Bombyx mori: one gene and its partner. The main gene of each other region encodes a partner of the protein of the gene in region 2 in a complex. Links are inferred from orthologs where the notes say so. Each region holds a gene or a part of one and is shown on either strand. Other genes may lie near its edges.

Evidence for each region. The genes of interacting proteins can lie anywhere in the genome.
Region 1: the proteins of 2-oxoisovalerate dehydrogenase subunit alpha, mitochondrial (region 2) and 2-oxoisovalerate dehydrogenase subunit beta, mitochondrial are in contact, whole or in part, in a crystal structure (PDB 1V16), measured with the Homo sapiens proteins. The link is inferred for Bombyx mori from reciprocal best matches to the Homo sapiens genes BCKDHA and BCKDHB. Residues at the interface, in NP_000700.1 of Homo sapiens: Phe155, Leu185, Gly186, Lys187, Arg189, Gln190, Gly196, Cys197, Lys198, Phe202, Val203, Thr204, Ser206, Pro208, Thr211, Pro214, Gln215, Val217, Gly218, Ala219, Tyr221, Ala222, Arg225, Gly244, Asp245, Ala248, Asn251, Phe252, Thr255, Leu256; in NP_000047.1 of Homo sapiens: Pro89, Thr90, Val92, Asp117, Arg118, Phe120, Asn121, Thr122, Pro123, Cys125, Gln127, Gly128, Ile129, Gly131, Phe132, Ile134, Gly135, Ile136, Val138, Thr139, Asp158, Gln159, Asn162, Glu163, Ala165, Tyr167, Arg168, Tyr169, Arg170, Ser171.

Annotation. Positions count from the first base shown.
Region 1 is NC_085115.1:1,897,334-1,901,382, reverse strand, and holds the start of 2-oxoisovalerate dehydrogenase subunit beta, mitochondrial, read right to left. Parts: upstream 2,804-4,049; 5' UTR 2,268-2,803; coding exon 2,147-2,267; intron 1,830-2,146; coding exon 1,693-1,829; intron 956-1,692; coding exon 812-955; intron 1-811. UniProt on the Homo sapiens protein: Together with BCKDHA forms the heterotetrameric E1 subunit of the mitochondrial branched-chain alpha-ketoacid dehydrogenase (BCKD) complex.
Region 2 is NC_085129.1:15,377,778-15,382,023, forward strand, and holds the start of 2-oxoisovalerate dehydrogenase subunit alpha, mitochondrial, read right to left. Parts: upstream 2,807-4,246; 5' UTR 2,580-2,806; coding exon 2,520-2,579; intron 2,244-2,519; coding exon 2,184-2,243; intron 2,104-2,183; coding exon 1,832-2,103; intron 1,489-1,831; coding exon 1,232-1,488; intron 938-1,231; coding exon 772-937; intron 40-771; coding exon 1-39. UniProt on the Homo sapiens protein: Together with BCKDHB forms the heterotetrameric E1 subunit of the mitochondrial branched-chain alpha-ketoacid dehydrogenase (BCKD) complex.

The DNA of each region.
Region 1 (4,049 bases), on a different chromosome or scaffold from region 2:
GTTAGAAAAGTTGAAAACCTTGACATATTTGGCGATTCCCTTCCAATATTTAAGAACAAAATTATAAAAAGTTGTTGTTGAACCTCAGCCTCAGCCTCGGTCTGAGTACTCGGGCATTACTGCCCTTGTTGTCTTTCTTTTGTTTTTAATTTTTTATTATTATTAATAGTATTGTTAAATCTCTATTTATATATTAATGTAATGCATGCTGTGATTGCCTCTAATTAGAGTTGCAGTTATCAATTGCTCTATACATGTCAATGTTATTTTATGTCTTACTGTAAACCCTGTCGGTAATCCTTAAATAAATAAATAAATAAATAAATAAATAAATAAATATGAAAAGTCTGTTACTTGTAGAGGATGAAGAATCAAATTAAAGATTAAAGTTTAGATAAAAATATCTAAATAATAAATATAAAATTGCTGTAAGTATTTTCAGCATAATATCTTGATTCAATTGTGCAAGCCCTGGGTTGATTTTGTCATTATGCTAAGATATAATTGAGAAATTCCAAAAAATATTTTCTTGTTGATTATAGATAGGTTGAAAAGTCCATGGCCTAAATTCAAATTATTTTTAAAAATCTCATGTTGATAGCCATATAATCATCAAGTCAATACCATCAATAACTTTGCATTTGCATTGCATTGGATTCTGGATATAAATATATCTGTGGCAAGAATTAAAAATGTGCCTACACTCAGAACATCAAATATCTGTATCAATTATTCTTACAGGGAATCACAGAAATAATCAGACAAATGACGAAACCTTAAAGTGCATAATACCCAATATTTAATTACCTACCTGATCAAATGCTGGAAATATGTAATCAGCAAATTGTATTTCAGCAATAGCAGTTGCGCCTGCAGTGGCTAGACCTATACCGAAGCCGGCAATACCCTGTTCACATAGTGGAGTATTGAAAACACGGTCCTTGCCATATTTCTCCTGGAATAAATAGGTTACTTTAATGTAGGTAGCTGTGTTATGGTCTCCCTCTCTCTCTCTCTCTCTCTCTCACTATAATGCAATGGTCTTAGATTACCCAGGTCACTTCCAGGACTTCCTGCAGAAGCTGAGATATTGTTTGTATGACACTTTCACACACACTAAAAATGGACTGAATATTTGGATGTTAATTTGCTGCAAAATTCTTGTTCATTGTATTGTATTGTATACTATAACTACAGTACAAATACCAGCAATTCTCTGCAAATAAGTCTCTAACCTACACCAATTTTGTGTGTGAAATATTGCAACCAGACCAAAATGTATGCTTTTTAATACATAAATGATATTCCATGTTTCAATTTTTGAAAATGCATTTCATTTTATTAAATTTTTTATCCTATCAGACATCAACTCCTGGGCCTATCTGGTTGAAGTGGTTGTCAGAGTCCGTGCATCTTAATTTTGCAATTAATTTAATTAATTATAAAATTAATTAATATAATGTTTATTAATATTTTTATATTTGGCCACCTGACTTTTCCACCATAGAAAACAGTTTTTTTTTTTTTTTACATTAAATTCAAATATTAACATTGGACTCGACTTGAACTTGCCTAGATCTTACTAACTTGACTAGATCAGACTTGAACATTTTAAAAATATAAATAGAAACTTTAAAACTAAACTCTGATCTGAACTATCTGACAAATTTTGTAGTTAAGAATTATTTTTACCTGTAACCCCAAAGCACATCTGAAGACACCCCCGAATGCGACATCTTCACCGAACAATACAGCAGTTGGATTATTCTTCAATGTGATGTCCATTGCATTGTTTATTGCTTGCATCATATTCATCTTTGTCGTTTCTCCTGAATAGCACATAGAATCTCGTATTTTAAGTGTGTTTAACTATAGAGCTGGCAGGCTCATTATTCAACTGATTTTAGACAGTTAATAGCAAAAATGCTGATTTATGAACAAGATATTATTTGATGTGTATTCTTAACCACCCACTGATATGATTATGAGCGCTTCAATGCACGTATCTAAGAATTACAAAAATATAAAAGTATTTAATAAATTATACGATCAATGAATCAAATTACAACTTAAATTAGTACAATTCAAATTGTTCAATGAAAACATGTTTGCTCTATATATCATAAAAATCTCAAGTCACACTCACCATCTACTGGCCTTTCTTTATCTGGATAATAAATAAAATGTGAAGACATTCTTTTAGCGTAGTTATTAACATTTCGAATTAATTTATGGAACACAATACTTTTTGTACTTAAACTTGTCATTTTTAACGTCACGAAATCCAACGACTGTTGAATTGGGTAATAAGCTGTTATCTACTAACGTAATTAACTTTGCTTTGATTAAGAATCATTGATAAAGTGTGTGACGAAAGAATTAGCATTTTCTCGCGTTAGTCAGTATTGTTTTCCTACTTGTTGAAGTTCAGTTTTTATTACAACTTCGACTCTATTTGTACGGGATAATGTTTACTTTCAAATATCTTATCTTTCGAAACAAGTGTAGTGACGGCAATACCGGCACGAACTTTGGTCTTCGAGAATACTTTATTAAAATGAGTTCAATTTACATTTTAAACAAATTAACGAAGTTTTCTAAAAAAATTTTAATGAGCCTATCATTAACATATTATGCACACAAAATAAACCTAACATTAATTATCCAATCTTCAGAATATTTCAGTAAATTGAAAAACTATTCGTTTTTAACCGCTTCGCGACACTTCGCGTTATGTGCCGAATCCGAAAATTCAACAATAACATTACTAAATTTTCTTGACGTTGACGTTGACGTTTTCAATAAAACGAGAAGATGTCACTGTCGTTTTTTGTCCTACTTCGAATATTGTAAGGTTTCCAAAACCAAACTAGCGTCGAAAAGCTATCAGGCAACCTGATATAGGTAACTACAGCGGAATCCCTAATAAGCTTTTTGTTAATATGATACATTACACTACATTTATTGTTGTTCACTACTGCTACTACTACTATACATTATTTGAGTATAGATATTTGCTTAGTTTAGCTAGTATAGCTTAAGAGAAAAAAATCTACCCAGTTCAAAACTCTCTACGTTATCTTAGTTGTTATAAAATTCTTCAACTTCAAACCTACTTCAATTGTAATGTACTTAAACTTCTATGGGTTTGAAGAATTCGAATAGTTTAATCTCCAGGATTTTAGCTATATAATTTTTTTTTCAGACTGCCCATGCCGCGGCGCCGACGTCCTCTGCTGGAAATAGGCCAAAATAGCTCCCTAATCACACTTAGGCAATTTCTCAAAACCACATCAAATATCTCATTGAATATTCCATGCATAAGTGTTAGTAAAAAGAAAGTTCCCACTGCCAAAAGTCACATAATATTGAGTAGTTTTTGTTCGCATATATTTTAATTAACATAGTACTAATATAAGTATAATAACTAACCATAGTATAATTAACATAGTATAGTCTGTCAGGTTATCATTTCAAAAATTTAAAAGTTTAAATTAATGACACGAAAATTCATGAATTTGCTATGAATTGCTGGTTTCTGTTGAGCAATAGATGTTGCTTTCAGGGTTTTATTTAGCTACTAGCAAATACCATTGCACAAACAACTTCGTAGATAGGGTAATCAAATTGGATTGAAACATCATTATCTACATTTTAATAAGTGTAATCCTCCAAGTGAAGCTAAATTTTTGTACCTAATTATTTGCCTTATAAATAAAACTAATTTTATTAAATAATAAAATTGTATTTGTTAATGGTTGTTTATAATGTATTTTTTAATGACATTATAAAATATAAGTAGTTGGTACATAAGTAGGGTTTGCATTGATTTTTGTATTTACTTTGCATTTTACCTGTATTTATTCATTTTGAGGCCGCACCGCGTTTTAAATTATAATGAAGTACCTAATATAATTTATAAAAACGTAATACCTATAATTTTTTACTTTATTACCTTGATTAAAATTTAATCAACACGGCACTTTTTGAGTACAATAGAACGATGGATCATTCTAATAGTAAAAAAAATCTTTGTTGTTTTGTTTAAT
Region 2 (4,246 bases):
TCGCTTGTGGGTGTAGATATCGCGTAGCCGTTGTTTCTGCTGCAAGCGGAAGGTATAGTTGAGATTTGAATTCAACATATTTTATTGGTTTTGTTTTATGCACGGCTTGAAGTGATTATGAGAGCCCACTGACATAACTACGTGAATACCGTCACTTCGGACTCATATGTTGGGACATCAGCCGATGACTTAATTGCGTTAAAATAATTTTGTGTAGATTTTTTTTATTGCCGGTGTAGGCAGACCGGCATACGGCCCACCTGGTGGTGAGTGGTTACTGTCATTCATGGACGTCAGCAATACCAAGGGCAGAGCCAAGCCGCTGCCTACCGTTTAAAGTAAGACTGGTAGTAGCGTCATGGTTGACCTGCTACCTATAAAAATCTAAAAAATGTAAAATATCCTACCCTCAGTTAAAATAATAAAACAGTACAGTAAAAAGAAAACAATGATTGCTAAAGAAATTTCAACAATTCCACGTATTTTACGACAAGCTGTAGTTTGGTAATAAGTCGTGGTATCGCTGTATCGCCAAGTTCCGTGCGTGTGGCCGTGCGAAAGGCCACGAGTAGGATGTCCATGAGTGATTTCTTCTTTTGGATCATGCCTACTTCTCGAAAAAATTCGGTGACAAGTTATTGAAATTATAACGATACATAGACGTTTTCACACAAGTTTCAGAACATAGCGTAGGTACAGTCTCGAATGACTCGTATGATGAAATAATGACGTTTTCTAAAGACACCTATGATTAAATTTCGCAATACTGACCACAGCATAATAACAGGACAATCTAACGTAGCGGCAAAGTTGAAAGCCGCATGAGCATCGCCCTCCGAGGCAGCGCCGTCACCGAAGTAGCAGATCACGCAGCGGTCGTTATTCGGAACTCTTTTGTAGGCATAAGCGGCTCCAACAGCCTGGGGCATTTGTGTTCCTGATAAAAAACATTTCATGTACATACTGAGAAGAACTTCTTAGCAATCCATGGACTTACTAATTGCTAAACTAATATCTTATCTAATACGTGAATAGTTAAGTTGTACCTAAAAGTGCACCTATCTTTACAAATCTGCTGTCAAATGATGCCGTTAGATTTTAAAGGCAAAATGAACTTCCCCTATGTACTCACAATACAATATACAGTGGACTATAATTATCGCTCAACGCTAAGTCAAGTACGTCTGTCGAACGAAACCACTTAGAACCACCACTATTTAGAATTTATTACCTAATGGACTAGATATTGTGACCATGTTGTGGTGCTTGCTTCCGTAATGGACCGGCATCTGTCTCCCTTTCCCCGGATCCTCGCAGTTTCCGTAACACTGGTTCACAAGTTCCGTCACAGTCATCCCTCGGTATAAAAACACTCCTACTTCTCTGTATTGACTGAAGACCAAATCTTTCGGTGAGAGTGCCGAGGCGCTGCCTATGTGGATGCCCTCCTCGCCGTAGTTGGTCATATAAAATGAAATGCGGCCTTGTCTGTGAAATAATCAATACAAATCATCATGTCAGCTATAAGATCCACCGCTGAAGATCTTTTCTATAAAATATCCATAGCGATGTGACGGGTTGAAGCGGCCTGCGTCCACCGCGGTTCTGAGGCCTTTGTTAATTGTGTGCAAAGTAATAATTTTTTTATTGCCGCTATGGGCACAAGAGCATACGATCCACTAGATGGTAAATTATCACCGGTACCCGTGGACTTCAATAATTCCGGAATGAACCAGATTCAATCGAGCAATCAAAATAACTATACTATACAGCTGGGTTTTGGCCAGTATCTAAAAATGTGTTTTATAAAACTAAAAGCGAATGAAATTACCTTTGTGATTCATATAGAATTTTATCCATATGGCTCAGTTGTACCATGGTTTTGTACATGTTAATCAGCGTAGCCTTATCCAAGTTCGGTTCTTCATTTTTGTCGATGATCTGTCCGTTATTATCCATAACTCGATAAATCGGAATTGGCTCATAACTAGTTTCGTTGAAGAATTTCATTTCACTCACGTACGGTGCTCTTGCGCCAGGAAATTCTGCTATCTTACCACCGCCATTCTGTGCCGTTTCGGGCCTCGTACGCGTCGACAAAAGCTAAAATGGAATTGAGTCTTAAAAACACATGGTGGAATTCCTATAAATACAAATTTGTTGCGCCCTATTAATGAACTCACCCATTTCACGATATTTGTTATCGATCTTTTTCTCACATCACTACTTTTGACATCGATAGCCTGTTTTCAAAAATCCAATACAAAAGTTTACGATTGCACTGATTCTCGAAAATATTGTTGTTCATACAAAATTCAACTTTATGTTCATCTAGGTAGGGAACATTTTAACTTGTAAATAAACTTTGTGATGAAATGTAAAACAACATGGTTATCAGGCAAAAAATAAAGATTAAATCAAAATCATCAACTTTTCTTATCGTTATGTTGTCAAGGGTATGTTTTTATACTTAAAATACTGTTGTAATTCATTTTGTTAATAATTTTAAAATAACTCACCCTAGCAGCCCGTCGAAAAGCATTTAATTTGACAAAACTTGCTCCGGTCTTCAACGCCATCTTGAGACTGACTTAAAACTAATAATGAAGCACAATCGCTGTTTTATTTAACATAACATTACCAATTATCAAGATAAGAAACTTATGTACGTGTTTTTTTTTTCAATTAATAACGTCATTGGATGTTTCGTACCCTTTTACCTACGTACGATAGCAATTAAAATTACAAAATGTCAAAAATATTAAAGTTTATTTTATTTCTACATGTTGATGATGGAGAACCATTATGGATAAGTTTGCTGATCATGCATCATTTATGACTGCATAACACCATTTGCGAGTCGTAAAAAAATCAATAAATATTCTTGTTATTTTTTTTTATCAACCATTAATTAAGTAGATACCTATTTTTTATTTTTATAAATCCACAAGATATACCTTTTTTCTTGTAAATCCGTACCACCACTCTGCCTATTTCAGCCGTGAAGCAGTAATGTGTTTCGGTTTGAAGAGTGGGACAGCCGTTGTAACTATGCTGAGACCTTAGAACTCATATCCGAAGGTGGATGGCGGCATTTACGTTATAGATGTCTATGGGTTCTGGTAACCACTTCACACCAGGTGGGCTATCAGGTCATCCACCCATCTAAGCAATAAAAAAAAAATGAACATCAAATCGGAAAATATAGAAACGTGCGTAATTACTGGTGGTATTTTATTTATTTCTTTATATATCGTGTACCAACATGATGTACACCAGCACAAAACATTACAAGCAGTACGTGAACACAAAAAGAAACGCTTCAGAGTTCTAAAAAAAAAATAACATTAAAACTTTATTACACATTACTACATTTACCACCAAATACATTATTACGCATCAGAAATAAGCTCATTGTGTAAGATTAAGGTTGCAGACGTCTCGTCTAAAACTTTCGACAGTGCCAACAAGCTCCGACTACCGACTTGTCGTCATGCAACCCCGTCGTCCTTACACCAGTCACGAGGCTCACGGTGGATTGGCAGAAACTGAGCGCCAGCCTTGCAGAAGCCTCCCAACCAATCCTCTCTTATAGCCTGGATTTCACCCCGTCCCCTCAGGACATCGTCGAATCTATAGACATCCTGACAAACCATCTGTCCACCACGATGGGCAATGCATCCCATCAAGTCAATGAGGAAGACTTCTTCCATCGCATCAGATTGTCCCCCGAGCCCAGGAATCTCCTAAAAGTTAGAAACGCATCAATCGGGGCTTATGATCGTCATCCCACCGAATCAAACCGGATTCGGATGTATCGTCTACAGTGGGATGTCAAATCTCGCGTAGACGAAGCCCGAAATACAAGGTAGGAAAGTTATTTAGAAAGACTCGCGCCCTCATCCCAAAGGTACTGGCGACTAGCTAGGACACTCAAATCGGAAACTATAGTCATAGGAACAAGAACAGGATATAGTCACAGGAAACATATATATCGCCAGTTTGCCCCTCAGGACATCCCCCGGCTCTCGATGATAATGAAAAGGTAGAGTCATTAACCGATGCACTGCTAGAGCAGTGTACCACCAATGCTTAATCTGCGGACCCCGAACACACCGTGACGGGGAAGTCGAGCGCAGAGCTTTCTTGCCACCCTCCGACGCGTTACGACCCATTACCTATACCGAAGTCAAAGAAGCAATCGGTAGCCACCAATTTAGGACAGTTATTCCGAAAGTGACATATC